Linked DNA regions of Diceros bicornis minor. The protein of the gene in region 2 interacts with the protein of the main gene of each other region in a pairwise test. Links are inferred from orthologs where the notes say so. Each region holds a gene or a part of one and is shown on either strand. Other genes may lie near its edges.

Region 1 (7,799 bases), on a different chromosome or scaffold from region 2:
AAAATATGTGTTCCCCAAAAGACTTGCATGAGAAAGTTCAGATCAGCTTCTTTCATATGAACCAAAATGGAAGCAGCTCAGGTTCTCATCAACAGGAGACCGTCAAACACACAACATCATGGATGAACGTCAACACTATTAGTTGAGTGAAAGTTGCCAGATACAAAAAGCAGATACGGTAGGATTCCACTTATATAAAATGCTAGAACAGGCAAAACTAACCTATAGTCAAACAAAACAGAACAAAGCAAAGAAGGCCCATTGGCTAATTGTGGAATCTCAGTGGTGGGTATGTGTGAGTTTGCTATACAAGTTTTTCTGTCTGTTGACACATTTGGGGACAACAAATGCAGACACAGCCAGACTGATCTTTCTCTAGCACAGGCTCCATTGCCCTCCCTGCCTGCATTGAAGCATCAGTCCTCATCTGGAGACATCCTGGGTCCCACGGATGGCTCTGTACATTGGTCTCACCATCCAAGACGGCTTCCCTCATGGCCTGGTGCCCCAGGGGACAGCCAGAAGGCAGCGCTCAGGGGACAGGGATGTCTGGGCCTCTCCAGCAGGGCAGCTGGCCTTCTTACATGGCCACTCAGGTTCTGAAAAGCACAAAAGTGAAATCTCCGGGGCCTTCTTAAGGCTTCAGCCTGGAACCGGCTGCCTCACTTCAGCTGTACTCAGAATCAGGCTGGCCCAGAGGGCGTGTGGAGGTGACTGGTCAGGAATGCTGGGGACCCTGGAACTCCTGCAGGAGCCAAGCTTCACCAAGCAGGACCCAGGCCTCAATCCCCCTGCATCAGGGAAAAATGTGTGAGAGAGAGACTGAGGGAGCAGGCTGGGCTTCCCCCCAGAGCCAACCCACTCCCTCCTCCCACTTCCTTCCTACTCAAAGTGCTGCTGTTTTCCCCTTTGTCCGAAGGCGAAGGCGCAGTCACTGGGGCTTAATGCCAGCAGCTGCAGCTCTTTAAAGGAAAAACACCCTGAAAATCTGATAAATGCCATTTTCAAAACTGAAGCCAGAGACCAGAGAGGGTGTGGCTTGTGGTGGAGAGCAAGGCAGAGGAGCCCGGATTAGCCCTGGCCCAGACACCAGGCTGCCCCTCCCCAGATGAGGCGCACCAGCCCCTCATCCCCTGCCTCATGCAGGCTAGGCATTGGCCAGAATGAGGGTGAGAGGTGGGGGCCAGGCTGGGGGAGGGGGTGGGAGGAGGCCGCCCTGGAAGAGAGGGGGACAGGGGAACGCAGCTGGCTGGCGGGGAGCTGGGGGAGTCCTGGCTGCACTGCCTCTGCTTACCCTCCCAGCTCCTGTCCCTCCATGTGTGTGCAGCCCCTCTCCTGACAAGGCCACTCAGACAGGTCACCACTCCCATCCCAAGGACACACACCCAAGTACAGCTTCCCAGCCCCACCAGGCTGCCAAAATGAGACTGTGTGGTTGGTTCCACGTTGTGCATCTCTTCCTGCAGTTCCCCCACTTGGACCTTCATCTGCTGGGTCCTTCCCACCTACCATGTGAATGTTCCTCTTCCATGGAGTCCCCTGATCCCTGAGGGACATACAGCTTCCCCGCTCAGCGCCTGAACCAGGCCTCCTGTCTCTGCTCCCGCGGGTTGTCGGCTCCCCCACACAGGGGCGCCTTGTTCTCCCATTGCGCAGCCTCGCACCTGACACTAGTGGTACTCCATAAATATTGGGAACGGAATGATTGGGAGACTGTATGCTCCTGGTTTATCTCTGACGTCCAGGTGCCTGGCAAACCGCAGGAGGTCAGTGTTGCATCACTGGACGCGTGTGGATGTTTTCACTCTTCCTGGACCAGGGACCTCAGCCCCAGCTTCATCTGCGCACTGTAGGCTGCCTCCAAATCTGTACTCCAGCCCCAGCCTCTGTTTAGATCTCCAGGCTGCCTGTTGATCTGTCAGGTTTCGGAGCAGGAGAGTGAAAGAGTCAGAGCTGGGAAGGAGACAGAAACAGATGAGGGCAGAGGACACAGCCTCTCCCTTTGGGGAAAGTAGGAGGATGGAGAGACAGAGACAGGCAGAGAGAAGGAGGAGGAGCTGGCTCACACCACGCAGGATGCCTTTTCCAAAATGGAAGAGCGCTTACAAGGGAGCAAGGAGAGAGCCTGCTCCCTGCTCTCACGTCTGCTGGAGGAACCCCTAGTCCTGCTGCATGGGGGTGGGGTGCGGGCTGGGCCCTGGCCAAAGGTCCCTGGCTGCCCCCTGGGGCACAGTCCTACCCCACCAGGACCCTAGCTAACTCAGCAGGCTGTTGGCCACAGGGATGCTCAGAGGCCACTAGGACTTGTGCAAACAGGTGTTTGCTTCCCTGGGCCCTGGTCCTCTGGGTTTGTAGGGAAGAACAGATAATGGGTTTGCTGCCTGTGAGTAGCTCTGCTGAGGCTCCCCCACCACAAAGGCATTGACTCCTGGCTCTGCTAGTGCCTGCACTGGGAGCAGGGCTCTGTTTTGATTCCTAAAGCTGAGTTACTCCCTCTCTGGGAAGCAGCAAGCAAACCACGGAACTTGCAGGGCTTCAGCTGCAGCATCTGTTAAATGGGGATAACAGCACCTCTCTCGGAGTTTCTGTGAGGAGCAGAGGATTGAAAGGGACTGAGGACGCTCAGGGCAGGGCAGCTCAGTGAGGGCAGGACTTGTTAGTCTTAGTTTGAGACGCTGGGTGAGGAAGGCGCCAGCCCCGCCACTCTCAGAGGGATAGGTGCATCGCAGCATTTTCAGCAGGGAAGTGACGTGGTCAGATTCAGGATGTGGTGGATGAATTGGCCTTTTCTTTCTTTTCCCCAATACTGCAGACTCATTCCTGCCTGAGGACTTGTGCCTGGCGTGTTCTCCCCCAGGCTTTGCACCGTTGGCTCCTGCCTACTATTTAAGTCTCAGCGCACCTGCCTGCCTCAGAGTTCACCCCGACCACCTCGCCTCTGCCTGTTGCATCATCTTACTTTAATTCTCTGCATGGCACTGCATGAGCAGGGATCTTACTATCCTGTTTACCAACATATCTTGGCTCGTATCGTGCGGACCACCGCAGCTCAACAAATATTTGTTGAGAGAATAAAAGAACGAGACAATAAAGCCTAAACAGAGTGGCAGCAGTGGGGATGGAGAAGGGATGGAGTAAAGCAACATTAAGGAGGTAGATTCTTGGCCACCCATCAGAAGAGGGCATAAGCATCTCAGGTTTCTAGCTTGGGGACAGTTACTGAGTCCAGAGTCACAGACAGAGAAAGGAGCCTCGGCTCCTCTCTTCTCCAGAGCACTTTGGTCACAGCTGCCTCGCCCAGCTCCAAAGTGGTTGAGGAGCAGGTGACATCCAAGCTGCAGTGTGGCCAAATCACTACCAGAGTGTGGAGGGGTTGTTTGACTCTGATTCACTGCCTCTCCCTCTGCCCAGTAACTGCTGTGTCACTGTAGGAACTCCCCCCTTTTTACCTCTTCTTTGCATTTATAAACGAAAGCAAAGTAACTGGACCTCCCTGTGAAAATCTAGGAGAACTTACTTCTCCGTGACTGTGTAATTGCGGGGTTAAAACAGGGCGGCAGGGCTGGGTGATAACATCTGAAGAGCAGTTGAAGAGCGAATGGGGGTGGGAGATTGGCACAGGAACCCCTCCTGATTAACGGGGCCCTGCACTTGGGACATCTGCAGGCACCTGGGGCGCGGTTCTCCCAAGCTGGTGGCAGGCAAAGACAACTGAGCCTTGCGCACTGATTCAGCATGCTTCCTCCTGGCTGGCTGCTGAGTCAGGCCTGCAGAGCTCGCGATGCAGCAGGATGAGGCCAGGGGCTCTCTCTGACCTGGAAGTACTGCCCTTCAGGCGGGGGCTGGAGGTTGTGGCACTGCAGCCCGGTGTGTGCGCGGGCGATGGCGCCGGTGGGGTGCGACAGCAGGGAGTGGCATCTCTGCTCTTGCAGGCACTAGTGGTTAAGCATCCCGGTCTCTCTTACCAGACTGAGGTGCAGTTCGTGGGAGGCCTTTGTGGCTGACGGGAGGGCCCCGAAATTCCCCTCTATTTCTGAGGCTGCAATGGTCCTGGGGAGAGGGAGTAACGAGATGGGAAGGCGCAGGGGTCTGGGGTCCCGGGTCTTGACCAAAGGCTGTAGGTTTTCCTGGAGGAGGGAGAAAGGCCTCCTGGCTTAGCCTAGCCTCTCAGCATTCTGTCCTCTGGAGGCGCTGGTGAGAGCCCTCCTAACGTGTTCTGGAAAGAAGCAGACGAGCACATGACACACGTGCATACGGGGTTGCCACACAGCGTTGTTCCTGGTATAGGAGGGAATGGACGGGACGCAGGGCTGACCGACCGGCCATGCTGGGCCGGAGCCGTCCTCAGGCCACACTCCCAACCGCGCGCCGGGAGGGACGACAGCCTGGCGCTAGGTGGTCGGGGGCAGCCGCGCCCGCGCGGGGCCACCCACGGCGGGCACACGCCCCGCCCCTCTCGTGGACAGCCGGCACACGCCCCGCCCCTCGCGTGGACAGCCGGCCCCGACCGCACCCGGTCCTCGGCTAGCCAAGCGCCGCGGGAGCCACCCCGGGCCCGCCCCCGGCATGACGTCACGGCGACGCGCGGCATTGTGGGGCGGGAGCGCCCAGCCGGGGGAGGGACGCGGAGACGCCATTTTCGGCGGCGGGAGCGGCAGAGCCGGAGCCGGCTGGGTGCGGGGCGGCGGCTGCGAGAAGGAGCCGCGGGGACAGCGCGGGCGGGCGGCCGAGGATGCTGCGGGGCGGCCGCGCCGGCATCCCTCGCTCGTGACCGCGGCGCCGCGTCTGAGGCGTCCAGGCGGCGGGCCCGCGCAGTCCCGCTCCGCGCACGCGCCGCGGCCTCCCGGTGCTGACAGCGCGAGCGCGCGGCCGGCGGAGCAGCACGGTGAGTGCGGGCGGGCCTCACCCGCGTCCCCTCCTCGGTCCCCGTCCTCACCCCTGTCGCCCTCAGGCCCTCTCCCGACCCCGCCCCGGGCCCAGTCCTCGGTCCTCAGCCGTGGTTATTCCTCTTGCCTTCCCGTTCCCGGTCCCCTCCCCGGGCCGCAGACCGCGGTCCTCATCCACGTCCCCTTCCTGTCCGCTTCCCGGCCCCCTCCCGGGGCCGCGGACCTCGGTCCTCATCCATGATCTTTTCCCGTCCCTGGCCGCCGCCCCATTCACGTCCGCTCCAGATTCGGGTCCCGTGCGCGTCTCCATCCCGGCTCGGGTCCCCGCCCCAGCCCCGCCCCAGCCCCGCATCCACGGCTTGGCCCTGCTGCGGGCGGGGGCGGCCGCGCCCGGGAACAGCTGTGGTCCCGGGAGCCGCGCGACGGGGGATGTGGCCGCCCCCGGGACGCGGCGGGCAGGAGGGGGCGGCCGGCCGCGTTTGCTTTGTCCGAATCCTCCCTCTTCCTTCCGGCCGCCGCCCTCTCCCGTGGCACCGCCCTGGGCGGGCGCGCCTGTCAGGCTCGCGGGCGACCGGCGGCCGGGCGGGTCGGAAGCGTGTGGGTTCCCCCGAGAGGCCGGCTCGACCTCGCCTCCTCGGCGATCCCTTTCTTTTAGTAGCAAGACGGGTAACCTTTCATCCTCAGTGTTCGTCTAAACTTACAGCAGCCCCAGTGCTGGAATATCTAGTTGGTTGTCAAATGTGGTGCATCTCTTTCCTTGAAAATATTAAATAAAGGACTAAAAAAGTAAAATTAGTGCCTGGTGGATTGGATGGTTTTACAATTTAAGGTTTGTAGATCTAGGTAGTTTTGTGTTGGAAATTTTATATTGTTGCTGCTTATTACTGTTTTTTTATTTAAACAGCACATTTAGAGTTTAAAGAGTACTTGCAAAAATGATGTTTTTAAAAAGTGTGAGAACAACAGAAAATTTGAGATACACCGTTTAACTGCTGGGTAAATGGGCAGTTGGTTCTTTGATTCTTTGCATTAGTTAAATTCCAAGGCTTTTTTTTGTACAGCATAACTGAGCCATTGATCAGAGTCATTAGCTCAGAATACATTGTAATAGTTCAGTGAAAAACCCATTAGGAAATTGGAACAACCTCCTTAAATCTCATAATCTTATTACAGTTCCAGATTTATGTTTTTCAGGCACTGGCCACAGGCCTTAGGGTGGGAAATTTGATTCATTGTTGTTTCCTAAGTATCTGTAAGAATGCAGTGATACTAAATATTACAAATTTCAGATTGTGTGGAATTATATGTGGGAGGGTAGGCACTCTTAAGAGCCGGTTTCTCCAAGTCATCAAAGAATGCAACATCATGTTGCAGTGGAGCCTGGCAGCCCTGTGCTGTTACGGAGGGGTGTGGAGGACCCAGGGTGTTAACCTCACTGCGGCCTGGCTCATTCACCTTGCTTGGCAATGTCTTCTAAAAACAGTGTAGACAGTATGTAGTAAAGGTAGAAAGACATGCACGGGAATGAGGACAGTGATAGTCTCCAGCAAGGAGGAGGGAGGAAATGCCACTGGGGAGGGGCATATAATATCTTAAATATTTCATAGTAATAAAAACTTAACTACAGTTACTTAAAGTTTACATTCTTTTTTAAAATTATACATTCTTAAGAATGTTTCATAATGTTGAAAGATAGATAAGTCAGTGTGTAGCTTTCCATATGGGCTATAAACTATCTTAAAATATAATTGTGTCAAACAAAACCCAAGAAATAGAAAAGTCAAAAGTTGAAAAAATGTAGAATTTTTATAACCTCCAAACATAGGTGGAATATGATGAGAAACCAGAACTTTATGTTACAAAGAAGTGATCAGTAATATTCTGAACAAGATACAGGAAAGTTTTAGGTGTCAGATTTCAGGGCATAGACTAAAAATGATTAGCATGTTAAGATTGTAAAAGCACAGTCTTAAACATCTTTTGAGAACCAAACGAATGGCAGGTGCTGTGTTAAGTAGTTGGGGATATACAGATAAGACTTCTAAGAGCTCACAGTCTGGCGAGGGAGATGGGAGAAGTTGAGAAGTCGACAGGTATTACAGATTAGGTTAAATACTGTGCTGAGTGCCCTGAGGAGGGGATTCCAGATATGAGACTGGAAGGAAAGTACAAATTGGCCAAATGACGGTGGGATTGGTGGTTCTGGAGGACATAAGCCCTGAGGTAGTGCTGCAGTAAAGGGGAGTGTTGGGAAGGGGTGTGAGTGGAAAGGTGTTGTACAGCCTGCATAAGGGGGTTGCTTTCACCCTGAGGGTAGGAAGGACGATTGGAGGATTCTAAGGAGAGAGGTGACATTTTAGAAAGAGCATAGGCAGTGTGGCAGGTGCTTTGAACCGAGATAAGACTAGTTAGGAAGCCATTAACCCCAAGTGAGGACTGTAAACTTTTGAGTTAGGGCAGTGACAGTAGGAACAAAGGAACAGATGTGTCAGAGAGGGATTGATGGACTAGAGTGGCCCTGAGTTGGGACTGAGTGGATTGGGGTAAGGGTCGGGCTGCAGGCAGGAAGAGACAGATCAGCAGTGTGCCCAGCCACAGCGAACTGCTAAAACATAAGGCGGGTCATGTCTCTCTGCTGAAGTTTTTGCCATTGTCCTGTAAGCACCCGCATCCCTGTCTCTTTCCCTCTTCATATTCTCACCCTCACTGAGGCACATCCAGGTGCATCCTAAGCCTGCTGTCCTGGGTGTCACTGTCCTCACTTCCCCACACACTCCCTAGTACTTCTTGCTACAATACTGTATTATTGTACTTAATTATTATTTAGTTTATTGTCTGTTTTCTCCACTTAACATCCATAAGCTCCACGAGGATGGGGATTTTTATCTGTTGTAGTCAGTGTCAGTGCTTGGC
Region 2 (7,972 bases):
TACCAAAGAGGAAGAAAAGTTTGCTTACGCTTTATAAAGCTTTGCAGAATCTCTGGACCATATTCATAGTTTCCGGAAGAGACTTTGAGACCTTAGGCCAGGAGATTAAGTAGTTTGGCAGCAGAATCTTAAGTGGCCAATTCCATGATATTTGCCAGCAAAGATACTTGCTTCCAATTTGTTCCATGCAGGCTCTAAAGGGCTACAGTCTCAATTCCTACACTTCACTCATGTTGGACCAACAGTTCACAGGAGAGGATTTGGGTGGTGGTAGCTATAGGTATGAGTGCCTACAAAGCTAATGCCAAGTGCTAGAAATATCTTCATCATTATTAAAATTTCGAAAAGCAACAGCTGTGTTTAGTTGCACTCACAGTGGCCCAGACACTTAAGTGCCTACAGGTGCTGCCTGCCAAGCCCCACTTCTCACACCCAGTACATTGAGGGGGTCTGCATGTGGCTTTGTCAACCAAAGACAGTTGTCCTTTCAACTGCCCTCTGACTTTGGAGCCAAGAAACACTCATTTTATGTGACTCTATCAAGTACTTCCTGTCTCCATCCTTCAAATGGTCATTTACAAGCAAGTTTTTGGAATTCAGAGGATTTTTTACCCATTAAAAAATGTTATAAATGGTTAGCTTTTAAGCCCAAACACACTAACTTGTTTAACTTAAAATGTTCTGATGGTAGAAATGAACTCCCATTTATAACTGTTTTGTTGTGGTTTTTTACTGTACAAGAAAATGATTTGTGAATTCCAAATTGGATTGCCAAGAAGAACCCTGCATTGTGGTGCTGGCCCTTGTGGCTTCATCCCACCCTCACTGTCAGCCAGTGGGAGGAAGAGCGCTCCAGTTCTGTCCACTGGCAGGGATCTCGGTGGAGATGGGAGAAACCTGAGATGAGAATGAGGAAAACATGAACACAGAAAGAGCTTCTGGGCAGCAGTGACAGAACTCCCTGTGTCGCCGCCCCCCCCCCCCCCTTGTTTCTCTTCCTGAGACCCCAGCAGTGGGTTAGAGTGCCTGACTAGTCTGGTCACTGGGAGAAGCAGAAGAGGAGTTTCTGCTCAGGTGAGCCCGATGGGGGTAATCATTTGTATTGGGAAAATGCTCTGTACACTGGGGACTGCCTGTGTTTGGATGATTCATTAACTCTTAGCATCCTGTTAACCTCTAAGCTGCATTGAGAAATTACTAGGTTGTATTTTTATTAAGCCTTAAAATTTTTTTATGTGCATTTGGTGCCAACTTTTTTCTGGAGCTGTATCAAAACACCAAACCTGTACACACTTGCAATGTAATTTTGATAAGAACATTTTATTATTTTTACAAGGCAGAATTGGGTATAACAGTTGAATTAAACTTAGCAATCATGTACTCAAAGTCTTTGCCTGGTGTGTGTGCATGCGTGTGTGTGTGTGCATGCATGCACACATGATTTTCTCAACATCCATTTTCCAAAGTGCCTGAACTCTGCTTCCCTTTCAGCTTTTCATTGGTGACAGGGTTTGCCTTTTTTTATTCCTTTCTTTTTTTTTCATTTAGTCAGAGGATGCCCAAATTAATCTTCTCAAAGGTTATGGATTTAAGGTTCTTTTCTTTTGAAAACCAAAAACTTAGAGTAGAATGAGTGGGAATATGCCCCTGTTCTTTTTACTTTCTGTAAGTTAAAAGTAATGATCTTTTTTCTCTTACACCGCTTGTTTTCCTAAAGAACTGAAGGTATTTTTGTGTCTGTGAGGAAGATCAGCCCTGAGCTAACATCCGTGCTAATCCTCCTCTTTTTGTTGAGGAAGACGGGCTCTGAGCTAACATCTATTGCCAATCCTCCTCGTTTTTTTCCCCAAAGCCCCAGTAGACAGTTGTATGTCATAGCTGCACATCCTTCTAGTTGCTGTATGTGGGACGCGGCCTCAGCGTGGCCGGAGAAGCGGTGCGTCGGTGCGCACCCAGGATCCGAACCCGGGCCGCCAGTAGCTGAGTGCACGCACTTAACTGCTAAGCCACGGGGCTGGCCCAGAACTGAAGGTATTGAATTTGCCTCTGAGTTGGCTTTGAGACTTTGAGTGACGAGCCTTGTAATGACAAGATGAGGTGCTACGCTGGCAGGGTTTGCCTGTAGTGTCAAGTCCTGCAGAGAATGCACAGATTGAAGGTCTTTCTTTCTATATTAGCTATTTTCACGTTCCTACAGGGAAACTTGATACCCTTATGTGCATTCCATAATTTCAGGGTGATGAGACTCCTCAGACTGCCTGCCTGGAGACCCTTTACAGGAGGCTCCACACCATTCTGCTTGCTGGACTGGGCCAGCTACCAGGACAGCACTACAGAAAGAAACCCTACGTGGGGAACATGGGTTACTGGACGCTGTCTTCATTCATTCATCTGAAAACGTGCTGGGGAGTACAGAGCATGTTCCAAGAACTGGGCTAGGCACTGGCAACATTACATTACCTATTTGTAGCAGCCGCTTCAGGCACAGGCGAGCACTGAGGTCTCAGAGTGTCACAACCTGTTTGTCTCCAGAAGCCAGACAATGGCTGAGCCGGAAAGGACTGAGGTAGCTCCCGCTATGTTCTGGTGAGGGAGTGAGTAACATCCAAGGGTTGCTGCCTCCAGTCCTGTGCCTTGTCCAGAAATACACTGGCGCTTTTGATGAGGCATAACATTTCTTTGTGAGTCACGCCTTGCAAGGATGTATATACCTATGTTACCCAGTTCATTTGTTTTGAACTCATTATATTAATCCTTAGCATACTTGGAAATCCCGAATGAAATATTCCTGTTCTATGTGTGACTACAACGTGCTATCTAAAATTCGACTTAGAAAGAAATGAGAGGGACATTACAGGGACCAAGGTGACTTTTTAGCAAGCATTAGGGGTAGATACTTAGAAATTAAAGTAGAACTTATGAAACCTGTGTGTTCCTCTTACATTTTAAGGTCTTATAAGGAGGAAAAGTTCTATCTCAAACTATCTTTACAAATCTGAAGGGAAGCCTATTCTTTCTTAAAAAGTAAGTTCTAACTCAGTTATCTTGAGCTCTCAGGAGTGTACTACTTGCATTCTTCAGTCAGCAAGAATTATCCAGCATATCATCTTGTTAAAACTTCATTTTATTTTAACCAATTTCAAATAACAAATCTGCCCAATCACGTTAATAATAAAAATTAATCAAGTTGATGGCCAAGTCATTTGGCCTCTCACTGTGGTAGTGGGGGCTGCTCTACTGTATTTGTTATTTCAGGAATACAAAGGGGTCAAATTTCTGAAAAAGGCCTAAGGCAGAAGTCTTAAACATTCCCCAAAACACTCACAGGCTTTCTCTATAACTTGTTCACCAGCAAAAATTAAACATTTCATCTGTTTGTCCTGGCTTATCATTTTGAGAATATAAAACTAACAATTCTACATAACATATTGCATGCTCATTTGCTGGATGGTGCTAAGCCTCTTTCATGGATTAGTTTACTTAATCTTTATAACAGTCCTGGTAGGTTGGTAATATTTTTAGGCTCAGTTTTACAGGTTTGGAAATGGAAATTTAGGATGATTAAATCACTTAGCTAGGATCAAAACTCAGGCACTCTGAATCTGAGACTGAAACCTCAGTTTGTCTCTTATTAGGGTGGGTGAGCATCCATACAGCAAATTAGGTTGCAAGGGAGAGATGTGTACAATAGTTAACTGATTTGGTACAGTCAGGTTAGGATGAGAGGATGAACTGAACTTGAAGCATTTCAGTAGGTGAAAGGAGTAAGAGCATTTCTATCAGCATTAAGTGTTTACTAATGGGTTTTGTAAATCAGAATTCACACTACCTGTGTGGCCCCCAAGCTGAAAGTCTAAGTCCTGGGTTCATGGTGTCCTCAGATGCCAGTGAAAGAAAATGCAAATCTTCTGGAGCGACTCATTTTAAATTCAGGCCTCAAAGTATTTCCATAGATAAAGTTCCAAGGAATACCAGCTCAGAAGGGAGGGGAGGAGCAGCCTGAGCAAGAGTCAACCAAAAGAACAGACTGCAGAATCAGACCTGCAAAGCCTGCAGATAATTGTAATTAGATGTCAAAAAAAAAAAGCTTACTAAAGAGATTTAAAATCAGTAGCTGAAAGTGGAAGAAATAAGAGCCTATCAAAACTGGTAGAACATAGGAAAATCAAATAGGACAAATAGAAATTTAACCACTGAAATTAAAAACTCAATGGATGAGTTAAACAGATAACACATAGCTGAAGTAAAACCGGGAAATCTGAAGAAGTTATACAAAATGCAGGACATAGACGGACTAAAAGCTCGTTACTGGATTTTAGGATGAGATGGCAACTTGCATTTAACTGGAATCCCAGGAGGGACAATCGGACGGTAGAGAGGCACTATTTGAAAGGAAGCTCTGAAAACTTACTGAGTAGGACTATGCACTACTGTGTAGTACAACTATAAAGGTGAAGCAGAACAGTTAGCCAGCTCATCATGGTCACCCTGGGGGAAGGGAGGTGCGCACAAGGATAACGTCCATTTCTTTGCAGGGAGAGTGGGCACCGGATGCTCGTTTAAGTCTCTAAGCCGTACACAATCGTTTATATATACTGCGGGACATAAGCTACGTCTTTCAAAGTCCGGGACAGTGTCGTGGGAGCCAGAAGGAACTTGCTAAAGACGACAGCCGCAGCAGGAAACAGCTCTAACGCCTGACCGGAAGCGCCGCCTGCCCCGCTCGGCCGAGCTTCCGGCCAGGAGACAGGCTTCTTCTTACGTCACGGCCCCTGCGACCCCTAGCGGTGCGGGGTCGCGGAGCTCCAGCGGGACGGGCACCGCCCCCTCTGCCTGGCAGGCGGGACTTCCGGCCGCTGAGTGACGGGCGCAGCCTCAGCAGCGGCGGCGGCGGCGGCGGCGGCTGAGCCCTCGGGCGACAGCGACAGCGACAGCGGCTGCGGCGGCGGTGACGGGCCGCGGCCTGCAGACTACGGGCAGCCGGGGCGGGCGGGCGCGCCGGCGGAGAGCGGGCCGCGCTGGCGGCGGCGGTGGCCGCGATGATGGAGATCCAGATGGACGAGGGCGGCGGTGTGGTGGTATACCAGGACGACTACTGCTCGGGTTCGGTGATGTCCGAGCGGGTGTCGGGCCTGGCGGGCTCCATCTACCGCGAGTTCGAGCGCCTCATCCACTGCTACGACGAGGAGGTGGTCAAGGAGCTCATGCCGCTCGTGGTCAACGTGCTCGAGAACCTGGACTCGGTGCTCAGCGAGAACCAGGAGCACGAGGTGGAGCTGGAGCTGCTGCGCGAGGACAACGAACAGCTGCTCACCCAGTACGAGCGGGAGAAGGCGCTGCGCAAGCAGGCCGAGGAGGTGCGTGGGCCGGCCGCGCGGCTCCGCGCCGGGAACCCGCCCGGGGACCTCAGCCCCGCCTGGTCCTCATACACCCCCCGGCCCTTCCCTGGGACTCCGCCCTCAGCCCTGGTCCGGGGACCTCAGCCCCGCCTGGTCCTCATATCCCACCCCCCCGGCTCGGGGACCCCGCCCTCCGCCCTCGCCCGGGAACCCCCGCCCCGCCTTAGCCCTCGCCGGGGACTCCTGCCTGGTCTTCATACCCCCCGCCCATCGCAGCACGGCCCCCATTGCCCCGGAGCCCCTAGCCCGGCACAAGGGATGAGCCCTGGCACCCCCTTCCTCCTGGCCTGCTGCTCCAGCCCAGGCTGGAACCCAGGACCCCCTGGCCTCAGCGGGGGAGCTTGCAGCCTAAACAGCCCTTAGCCTCGGGCCAGGCCTCCGTTTCCCCTCCATACTCGCCTCTCATTCCAGATGCCAGGTTTTATGCTTTTGTGTGTGTTTTTCGCAAACCATTTTCCTAGGCCCCAATTACTACCTCTGGTTGCTGCAATTCTAAATTCTCCTCTCAGAAGAGAGATTTCTGATCTTATGGTTCTGCGGCCGGAAGAGGTCTGTTGTCAGAAGGCCTTTTCCTTGTCCCTAATCCCTGTTTTGAAGGTGTGTGACATAGGCGAATTTGGGAATTGATGTAAACACATAACAAAAGCCGCAGTTAGGCTGCTCCTCTGGCACTAGGTGAAAGACTCCCGGTTTCCGGAGATCATTTCTCTGCCTTGTGGTTCCCTCGGTTGGGAAGGTTGTTAGTTTATGTGGAAAAGGCTGAGAAGTTCTACTCTGGCTTCTCAGGAGTTAAAAGTAGAATTTTGAAATATTTGATTGTGTTCTAGATATCTCCATAACCTGGAAATCACTTACTTGTGAACCAGTTAGAAGCACCGTGCAGGGAATACCACTTAACTTCATTCATTCACCATCTAATATTTAGCCCTGACTGCGGTGCCAGACCCAAACGGATTCGGGGAATGTGGGTTCTCATCCCTGCTTTGCCTCTGTGACCTTGTCTGTGTCGCCTGCCTGCTCTGTATTTTGATTTTCCATCAGCCAAATCAGTCAGTTGCCCTAGATGATCTCTAAGCCCTGACGTTCTGTCATTCCAGGCGTTAGGTGATGCTCTTTGATTTATGAATAGGAAGTTTCTTATTAAATGAGCTAAATTCCTTTTCAATTAATTCGGCGTAACACATTCTTGACTTTAGATAGAAATAGAAAATTGTTCCAATATTTGAGCTTTTTCTTAAACCAGAGTGATTTATGCCCTAGTTTGGTTTAAAGCATCTTTATAAAAATTAACAGTGCCTTGTATCGTTCCTACTTAAGGTGGTTTATTTTGCTTTTGGGTTTTGTGTATCTGTCAAGAGGCTGTTGTCTATTGATTGGGGTGCCAGGCTCCACCAAAACTGATTTAAAGCTCTCAACTTAAGGGGATGGAAGAGCTTGTAGGATTTTAGAGTTCAGAGTGGCCCTAGGCATTTACTGGGGAGGGAACTGGCTCTGAGAAGTGGGGGGTGGCTGGACCACGGTCTCGCGCCGTAGGAGAGCCAGGCCAGGACCCAGTCCACCCTGACTCCTCACCAGGGCTCTTCTCTCCGTGCCATGCTGCTCTGGGAGGTCAGAGAGCTGCACTCCCAGACTGGAGTTCTGGGGCTCCCCTCACCCGGCCATGGGGCTATGGTTCCCTCCCTAGTGCTGGGCAGCACCCTCCACTTCTTTGACCACTCTCAGTGGCTGTTTGATGCCTAACTGAGATTGCAAGTAGGTTTGTTTTCTTTCATCCTGTACCTGTGTGGTCAACATAGTGGATGAGACAGAATTAAAAGGAGAAAACCGAGATGGACAACCTTAAGGCTAAGAGTCACGACTTTCTACCTTAAAAATTAGCTGTGCATGGATTAGGCCTCTGCTCTGCGCAGTTCAAGTGCAGCCACAAGCGAGTGTGCTTCTGGCCTCCATTTCCGCTCCCGTGGACTAAGAGGTGGGGGTGCGTGTGTTGTCTAGAAGAGACTGCCTTCAAGGCTGAGACCCACCATTGCCCCAGCTATTAAGAGAAGCTGCACAGAGTTTCCTGAGCAGAGAGCCACAAAGCAAACAAATGCTTGGCTAGCCAGTATCTAGGCTGTGATTAGATGCTAATAGGACGCCCTTGGAAAGACCTCAGGTGATATTACAACTAAAGGAAAGGGCCAGTACTGTTACCATTTTGGCATTCTAGCTCATTTGTTAAATCCAGCAGACATTCATTTTCCATTTTGTGGAAAAGACTACTATGCACTGAGGATCGGCTCCTTTCTCTAGGCAGGGAATTGGGATCACAGATGTGTGTCTGGTGACACAAAAGCTGGAACGTCACCCGCTGCAGGCATGTTCATGTTGCAGAGTAGCTCCTGTGTCCCCGGCCACTCTACTCAAGAAGGCTTAGTCAGAGCTGGGTAACCTGAGCTGCCTGCGGCCTTCTGAGCAGACAGAATCTGCAGCTTTTTTAAAAAAGCCTTGAGCAGAGCAAATTACCCCTTGCTCGTGATAACCATAGCAAGGAATTGCGAGTATGTTCTGGTCCCAGGGTGGCTCAGTGGATG
Region 3 (7,737 bases), on a different chromosome or scaffold from region 2:
GGCTGAGGAGGAGACAGCTGCTGGTCCTCCCCAGGAGGGCAGTCTGGGCAGGTAGGGGCACCTCCTCCAGCCCCTACAGGTGCTGCAGCGGGTCCCTCACTTGCTGGGCACACTCTGAGAACCAGCGGACAGAACTTAAGTCCTTGGATGTGTATTGGGCACCTCCCCTGCCAGGCACTGGTCAGCTGCTCCAGGGACCCTGGGGTGAAGGACGTTTCCAGTCCCCGTCCTTGAGGGACGCTCAGCTGCTGGGGAGGCAAGTGTGCCGCTGTTAGTGCTGGCAGTAGATTCCGACTCCTAGCGCCCCTGTGGACAGCACAGCAGAACCCTGCCTCGTCTTTTTGTGCCATCCTCTCACCTTCCGGCCTTGTATCAATGTTCAGCTGCTACCCATAGGGTTTTCATGGTCAATTTTTTTGGAAGTGGGTGGTCAGGTCCTTCTTCCTAGTCTGTCTAGTCTGGAAGCTCCACTGAAATGTGCCCACCGTGGGTGACCCTGCTGGTATTTGAAATATCAGTGGCACAGCTGTCAGCATCACAGCAACACGCAGCTGCCACAGTATAACCACTGACAGATGCGTGGTGTGGTTCCCTGACTAGGAAACAAACCCAGGCCCCAGTGGTAAGAGCACTGAATCTTAACCACCTAACCACCAGGGCTGGCTGGGAAGCAGACAGGTTCACCAATAACCATAAAAAATGAATGATAGCCAGAGTTACCATTTTCTGAGCACTTGCCACATGCCGGGCACTGGGCTAAGCATTTCCCACATATCACCCCACAGAAGCCTTACAAAACCTCTAAGGCAGGTATTGTCCCCATTGCACAGATGAGGAAACTGAGGCCCAGCTAGCTACAGTTGCATATACATACGTGGAGGATTTGGTTTTAGAGCCCAGGTATGTTCAACCCTAAGGTCAAACCCTTGTTGTCTAGGAGTGAGTGAGTGAGTGAGTGTGTGTGTGTGTGTGTGTGTGTGTGTGTGTGTGTTGGGGAGGGAAGATAGGTATGTGGGTAGCTGTGACTGTGGGTACTGGGGAGGAGGCCAATTAGATGTTCTGAGCAAAGGTGGGGAGGCTGGGGAGTTGAGGAGGCAATATGGCTAGGGATGTTTCTGGAAGAAGAAGCAGTATGGAAAGAGTCTGAGGAGGGAAGGGCTGTGGCTGCTGAGTCAGCAGGACCCAGCAGGCAGGAGAGGCCCTGTGGGTTGGGTGAAAGGGCAGAGCTGAATCGAAGCAGGAATCCCTGGGGCTCTGACTCACCAGGTTCCCTCTGGTTCCCTGGGAGAGGGCTGTCTCAGACCTGGGCCCAAGGGGCTGGGGGCGGCCTTACCCCACCAGTCGGAAGTGGGGGTGGGGGGCTCTGGGGTGAGGCTGGACTACCCACAGTTCAGACTGGGCCAGGATGGTTCCAATCCCTTCCCTGGGGGCTAGTCAGGAACTATGATCATAATAACCACTCCATCAGGAACCTGCATATTTTAGTTTTATTAAAATATGCAACAGGGCCGGCCCGGTGGCTTAGCGGTTAAGTGTACGCACCCCGCTGCTGGCGGCCCGGCTTCAGATCCCGGGCGCGCACCGACTCACCGCTTCTCCGGCCATGCTGACGCCGCGTCCCACATACAGCAACTAGAAGGATGTGCAGCTATGACATACAACTATCTACTGGAGCTTTGGGGGGAAAAATAAATAAATAAATAAAATTTAAAAAAATATATTTAAAAAAATAAAAAATATGCAACATACCTAGCACTTATTATAGCCAGGCATAATTCTAAAGACGTCCCAAACATTAACTCTTTTAATCCTCATAACCATCCATGAGGTATAAGCCCCATTTTACAGATGAGGAAACTGAGGCCTGTGGAATTAAACGATTTGCCTAAGGTCATGAAGTAAAGAAGTGGGGGAGATGGGATCCCAGGCTCCAGCATCCCTGTGTTCACCACTGTGCTCTGCTAGTGGAGGCTAAGAACACACATGTTGCAGTAAAAATTCCCATTTTACAGATGGAAAAACTGAGGTGAGGGGACTGGCTCAGGGAAGCAGGGAGGACAGAGCACTTGAGGAAACCAGGGCTCCTGACCCCAGCCTCGGCTTCCGTCCTGGTCCCACTGCAAGCCCGAGTGATGGCTGGAGAGAAGCTGAGAGCCCTCCCACACCCTGGCACCCACTGTCTCACTGGGGTCCCACGAGGGCCCACTGGGGGAGGACACAGTAAGATTACAGTTCTGACACCATTTTCCTAAAGACAAAAGCCAGTTACTCCCATAGGTAGCTTCTCCCTCCCTTTTATTGTTTTTTTTTCTTTCTGATTACTAAAGGATATATGATCACTGTAGAAATTTTTACAAAGTCAGATGAGATAAGCAAAAAAAAAATAAGAGAGAGAGAGAGAAGAAAAAAATCAAGATTTCTTTGCTCCCTCTCTGATTTTATAAGCATCCAAGCTGAAAGGCAAGAGACTTGGCTTCTGCTCCTGGCTTGCTGTGTGACCTTGGGCAAGTCCCCGCCCTTCTCTGGGCCTCAAGATCCTCACCTGTGAAATGAGGGTTTGGATACAGTGACCTCAGAGGAGGCCCCTCACAGCTCTGACCTTCTGTTTCTGCTTCTGTATCTGGGACTGGCAGAAGGGACACAAGCAGGCTGCCCCTCTGTGGGGGACGCATGGCTGACAGCTCCCAGCAAGACACCTCCGGGAGGATGCAATGGCCCTGTAAACAGCCTTGCTTGCCAGCACAGCATTCCCAGGCCTGCCTGCTTACCAGGCCCATATGGTGCCCCCTGCCAGCCGGACACCACCAGCTGCCCTTCACCGGCCAGCCCTGGGTGATTGCTTTTCCTTCAGGCCCCAGCATGCTCTCTACTGCCCCACAACCCAGCTGGCTCGGGGTAAGAGAGCTGGGGGGCTCAGCCCTGAGGACCGACCTGCCTATTGCCACAGCCCTTTGTGGGAGAGGACAGCCTGGTGTGGTGAAAAGCCGAAGAGAGGCGGGGGCGGGGAGAAGGAAGGAAGGAAGGAACATTGACTGTATCCCAACTCCATTTGGACCCCTTGCTAGGCATTTGGGATTCAGAAATGAGTCAGAAATACCTACTGCCCTTGAAGGACACAAAGTCTAGTGGGGGCGAGAAGAACAGAAACAGGCAGCAGCAACACTTGCAACGCCGAAAGCTCAGGCCTGTGGGATCCCACAGGGAGAAGCCTAACCGATGGGTGGTAGTTGGGGAAGGCTTCCCGGAGGAGGCAAATTTATAGGTGGGTTCTCAAGTACAGGACTCAGCCTTTCCAATTCATGCTATTTAATCCTTACAGACAGCCCTCTGCAATAGGTACTATGGCGCCTTTTACAGATGAGGCTCAAAAAGTGAGCTCACCAACACCAAAAGAAAGAAAGTTGGGTTAAAACCCCTGGCATTCTACTCCGGCTTGGGAGCCTGGATTTGAGTTTGATGCAGCCTCTGACTGGCAGGGACCCTCAGTGAGTGCCTCTCTCCTGGGCCTCAGGCTCTTATCTGTAAAGTGGGTGTGTTGCTGTTGCAGTGTTGTTGGAGGAGCAAGGGACAGAAGGGCTGAAAAAGCACTTAGGTTATAACCCGAGAGAGAAACACCAGCGAGGCCTCCCTCTCGAGCTGGGGCTACCACACCCGTCCTTCCCCCAGCCAGGAACAGGACTCCTGCCTTCTGATCCAGGAGCAAGCCCAGAGGCTCAGGTCACCTTGCCGAGGCACCCCCATCTAGAAGAAGCCGGGCTGTGCCCTTCTTTTGACTCCCTTTGACAAAGCCTGACGGGAAGGCACAGGATCCTAGAGAGAATTCTAAATCTTGGAGTTAAAACATCTGCGATTGAGGAATTCTAGGATCCAGACTCCCCTCCAAGCGCCTCCCGGCAAGCAGGGCAGGGTCTGGGTCAAGGTCATGCAGCACCTGGCCCTGCCAGGTTGGAAGGATCACTAGAGATAGGATCCCATCTCCTTTCACAGATCAAGATCAAGACCCGGAGAGGAGAAGGACTTGTCTGAGGTCACACAGCAAGTCAGTGTCAGAGCTAAGGCTCCTTTCCTCATGCAGAACACCTTAGGCCACACCACCTCTGAGGCTACTTAGGGAGTGGGGTGGGGAGGGGCAGCCCAGCGTGCCCAGGTGGTGCCAGGGAGCAGCCTGGGTGCCACTGGGTGAGTCAAGTACCACTGGTTTTCCAAACTTTTATACTCCTGTCCCCTTCTCAGCAAAGTTCTACAACCTCAACCTCTCCTTCTAAGCCCCCCACTGCCCAGTGCACCTCCCGTCTCTTAGATAAGACCCTACTCTCCAGCCCTCAGTCTTCCCATCTGTAAAATGGTCTTCAAGTATCTTTCAGCTGGGCTGTCCAGAAATCCTAGGCCGCCGTGTAGGCGGGGTGACGGAGGCGGCTCTCGGGCCCTCAGCCTCCTATGGGGTGGAGAATAAGAGGATTGGAGACAGGGAGGAAAAGGGGGGCGTCTAGGGCTTTCGGCTCACTACCTTACGGGCGCCCTTTGTTTGGACAGCCTCGGGAGCGCGGCGCACCAGGTCCCGGGAGCGAGGGCAGGGGCCGGGCGGGGCCCGGCCGTCGGGGGCGGAGCAGTGGGCGTGGCCTGGTCGGCCCTCGCCCCGCCCCGTCGGACGTCGGCGCGGAGCCCGCGTGGGGAGGAGGAGCGCGGAGCAGCGCGCGGCGCCCGGCCGCGGCGGAAAGTTTTCCTGCCGGAGTTTTGGCGGCGGCCGCCGGAGCGGCCATGGACGCGCTCAAGTCCGCGGGGCGGGCGCTGATCCGGAGCCCCAGCCTCGCCAAGCAGAGCTGGGCGCGCGGCGGCCGGCACCGGAGTGAGTGTGTGCGCGTCCGCCGGGCCGGGCGGGGGTCGGAGCGCGCGGACCGGCCTCCCGCGGGCGCCCGGGGGAGCGGCGAGGCCTGACCTGCGCCCTGCGGCCCTGGGGAGTGGGGGGTCGCCCGGGGTCACATCGCGCTCCCGCCCCCGCTCTGTGCAGCTGGGGAGGGGGGCAGAAGCTGGCGGTCCCCAGGGGCAGGCGGCAGTCGGAGGGGTTGCAGGTAAGAAGAGACTTGCGCGACCCCCAGCGCCTCCCCGCCCTGGGCAGCTCGGGGAGGCAGGAGCTCAGCGTCGGTGCCCGGGGGAGGGGGCGGTGCAGGGGCTTGGAAGACGCCCCCATCCCCGCACCCCTGCGCGCCAGCCTAGAGGTCAGCGGCCAGCGGGAGCCCATTTGCCCGGTCCCCTAGTGCAACCCACGAGGTCATCTTTCGACTCCTGGGCTCCCGGAAACCGACTCAGGTGTGAGCCCAGGTTCGCAGGTATCTACTTGAAGGTGGGGGCGAGGCTCAGCCTGGGCTCTCAGGAGGCAGCACACATCGGACTGTCTAGTCCCCTGCGTCCCTTCCTCTGGCCGGGTCCAGGTGGCGAGGCTGGCGTCTCGGCTGTTTTTGAAACCTGTTTTCTCTCGCACTTTCCCCCTTGGGTTTCCGAAGTCCCTGGGCTCCCAGGCGAAAGGCAGACTCGTCGCCACCTCTCCCGGGGGCGTCTGGGAGGCAGGGAGGGGCCTCGCCTGGCCCCCCTTCTCTCCCCTTCTCAGGTTACTCTCAGGGAACCCGTCACCTGGCACCTTCCCCTGAGGCCTGAGAAACCCAGCCCAAGTCTCTCCTTTTTCACGAGGGAAAATAGAGTGGCTTCCCTGGGGTCACACACACCTTCCCGGTGGATATGGAGCCAGAACTCCTGCACACTCCCACCCCCTGCCAACCACCTCTGACCTGGCCACTCCCCACTCCAGGAAAGCCCTGACGGTATAGTCACACCCCACCCCCCTTCCTTCTTTGCCTTCCAGGGCTCCACCAGGGGAGCCCGCGTTCCTCCGTGCAGGAGTGCCAGCGTGTCTGGGCCTAGAGAGCCCGCCCTGCCCCTCCTCTTGCACCACTCCTGTTCCAGCTGTGGCCGCCTCCTAAACTAAGACTGGCATTGGGAGCTTGGGTTGGTGCCTGCGGGTGGAGGTGGGGTCAGAGACTCATTAGGGCTGGGCCAGGCCAGGGATGCACCGTCTCCCTCCCTTGTTGGCTCCCAAAATAGACCTTTTAAATATTTGTGGGATTTGACCAGAACTTCTGAGATGATCTGAGATGACCAGAACTTCTAGTCCAGTGGGGGAACTCTGCAGCCTTCTCCTGGGATGAGGGAGGGAAGGGGTGCTGGGCAAGGGAAGGAATCTTAGAAGCCCCTCTGAAATTGGAGAAGGGAAGAGGCAGCCACCCTGGGTGGTGGAAAGGAGTTTCTCCTGCCTGCTCTGATCTTGGACAAGCTTGTCCTTTCTGATCCTCAGTTTCCTCATCTGCAAAATGGGAATAAAAATTCTAACCTGGCAGGGGTGTTGAGAAGGTTGTTGATAATAATGCTTCCTCCTGGCCCCTAATTGGTGGTTTCCTTGTCCCCGACTCCCATTGCTGTCATGTGGACCTTCCACATGATGATTACTGTGATGGAACAAGTTTTGGGGCCTCAGGGCCTGTCTACACCTGCGGAGGAAAGGAGAGGAGAGCCCCCCTCCCTCACAGACCCCCAGAGTGCTGTCCTGAGCCTTCTGGACCCAGGGTGAGCTGGGTCTAATCCCCAGCTGTCCGTCGTTATTAAGTCTCAGTTTCCTCATGTGTAAATTGTAAATAACAGTTGTTCCCACCTCTGATTTTTGTGTTTGAATGAAATCGTGTTTTCTTGGCATGGAGAAAGAGTGCAATAAATGGAGCTGCTGCTTTTGTCACTTTATGTTTTACACAGTGTTTCTGCTTCCATTATCTCATTTGCCCCTGTGAGGTGACAGAGCAGGGATTCTTATCAGACCCATTTTAGCGATAAAGGAACCGGGGCTCAAGGAAGTGGAGTTACTGGCCCCGGCATAGAGCTTCTGAGAGGCAGCATCCCAGATCCCCAGCCCAGGGGGCTTATCCCTGTGCCTCATGGACTCTGGCCCTGGGAGGAGGGGGAGCTGGGGGCAGTCTCCACCCCAGGCTGGGCTGGCAGCCCCTGAGGATAGTGGTGGCCACAGGGAAGCCCTGAGTGTGTCCAGGTTGGGGGTGCTGGGGTCCTCTGACCCTCGGGCGCCTCCGTGGGTTGTGCCAGTCTGTCAGAGAACTCAATGAGAAGGGCTAAAGAAACATGAGGCGCAGGTTCCAGGAAAGCTAGTTAATGGTGGTGGGCAGGGGACGGAGGATCTATGCACACTTATAATACTTACAATAGAAGATATTATAAATAAGCCATCATGCTCATTGAGCGCCGACTATGCATCAGACGCTGGTGGAGGCGTGCGGGAGTCTGGCGAACGGTCAGTCTGGTGGCGGAGGCAGGCAGATTGACCAGGGTGCGAGCGAGTGGCGTGATTGTGGGTAGTGGTGACTCTGAAGGAAGATAAAGCGGGGTGGGGAAATGATGGGGCAGCTTCGTTAGATAGCGTGGTGTCTTCGTTTGGGCTCTTCTGGAGGCAGATGCCGAGACAAGGATCTGAGTGCAAGTCGTGTTTTGGGGAAATGATCCCAGGAGACGTTGTCAGGAGGAGTGAGAGGGAAGGAAGTCAGGAAGTGGACAGTGTGAAGACACCACACTGGGCGACTGGCGTGCCATTGCCTGGGGCCCCGGGAGCCGGCGTGGAACGTGCTCCTCAGTCACTCCGGTTGAGCGGTCGTTCCTGTCAGTGCTGGGTGCGCGGCTGCTGAGATG

What was found.
Region 1: the proteins of MAPK8IP3 (region 2) and KLC1 interact in binary tests that used the Homo sapiens proteins (3 or more experiments, as listed by UniProt). The link is inferred for Diceros bicornis minor from reciprocal best matches to the Homo sapiens genes MAPK8IP3 and KLC1.
Region 3: the proteins of MAPK8IP3 (region 2) and LDLRAP1 interact in binary tests that used the Homo sapiens proteins (3 or more experiments, as listed by UniProt). The two-hybrid records come from large-scale screens. The link is inferred for Diceros bicornis minor from reciprocal best matches to the Homo sapiens genes MAPK8IP3 and LDLRAP1.

What each region holds. Positions count from the first base shown.
Region 1 is NC_080763.1:48,267,835-48,275,633, forward strand, and holds the start of KLC1 (kinesin light chain 1), read left to right. Parts: upstream 1-4,737; 5' UTR 4,738-4,885; intron 4,886-7,799. UniProt on the Homo sapiens protein: Kinesin is a microtubule-associated force-producing protein that may play a role in organelle transport. The light chain may function in coupling of cargo to the heavy chain or in the modulation of its ATPase activity.
Region 2 is NC_080765.1:46,694,924-46,702,895, reverse strand, and holds the start of MAPK8IP3 (C-Jun-amino-terminal kinase-interacting protein 3), read left to right. Parts: upstream 1-4,948; 5' UTR 4,949-5,039; coding exon 5,040-5,357; intron 5,358-7,972.
Region 3 is NC_080752.1:41,574,726-41,582,462, forward strand, and holds the start of LDLRAP1 (low density lipoprotein receptor adapter protein 1), read left to right. Parts: upstream 1-4,694; 5' UTR 4,695-4,758; coding exon 4,759-4,846; intron 4,847-5,124; exon of another isoform or gene 5,125-5,816; intron 5,817-7,737. UniProt on the Homo sapiens protein: Adapter protein (clathrin-associated sorting protein (CLASP)) required for efficient endocytosis of the LDL receptor (LDLR) in polarized cells such as hepatocytes and lymphocytes, but not in non-polarized cells (fibroblasts).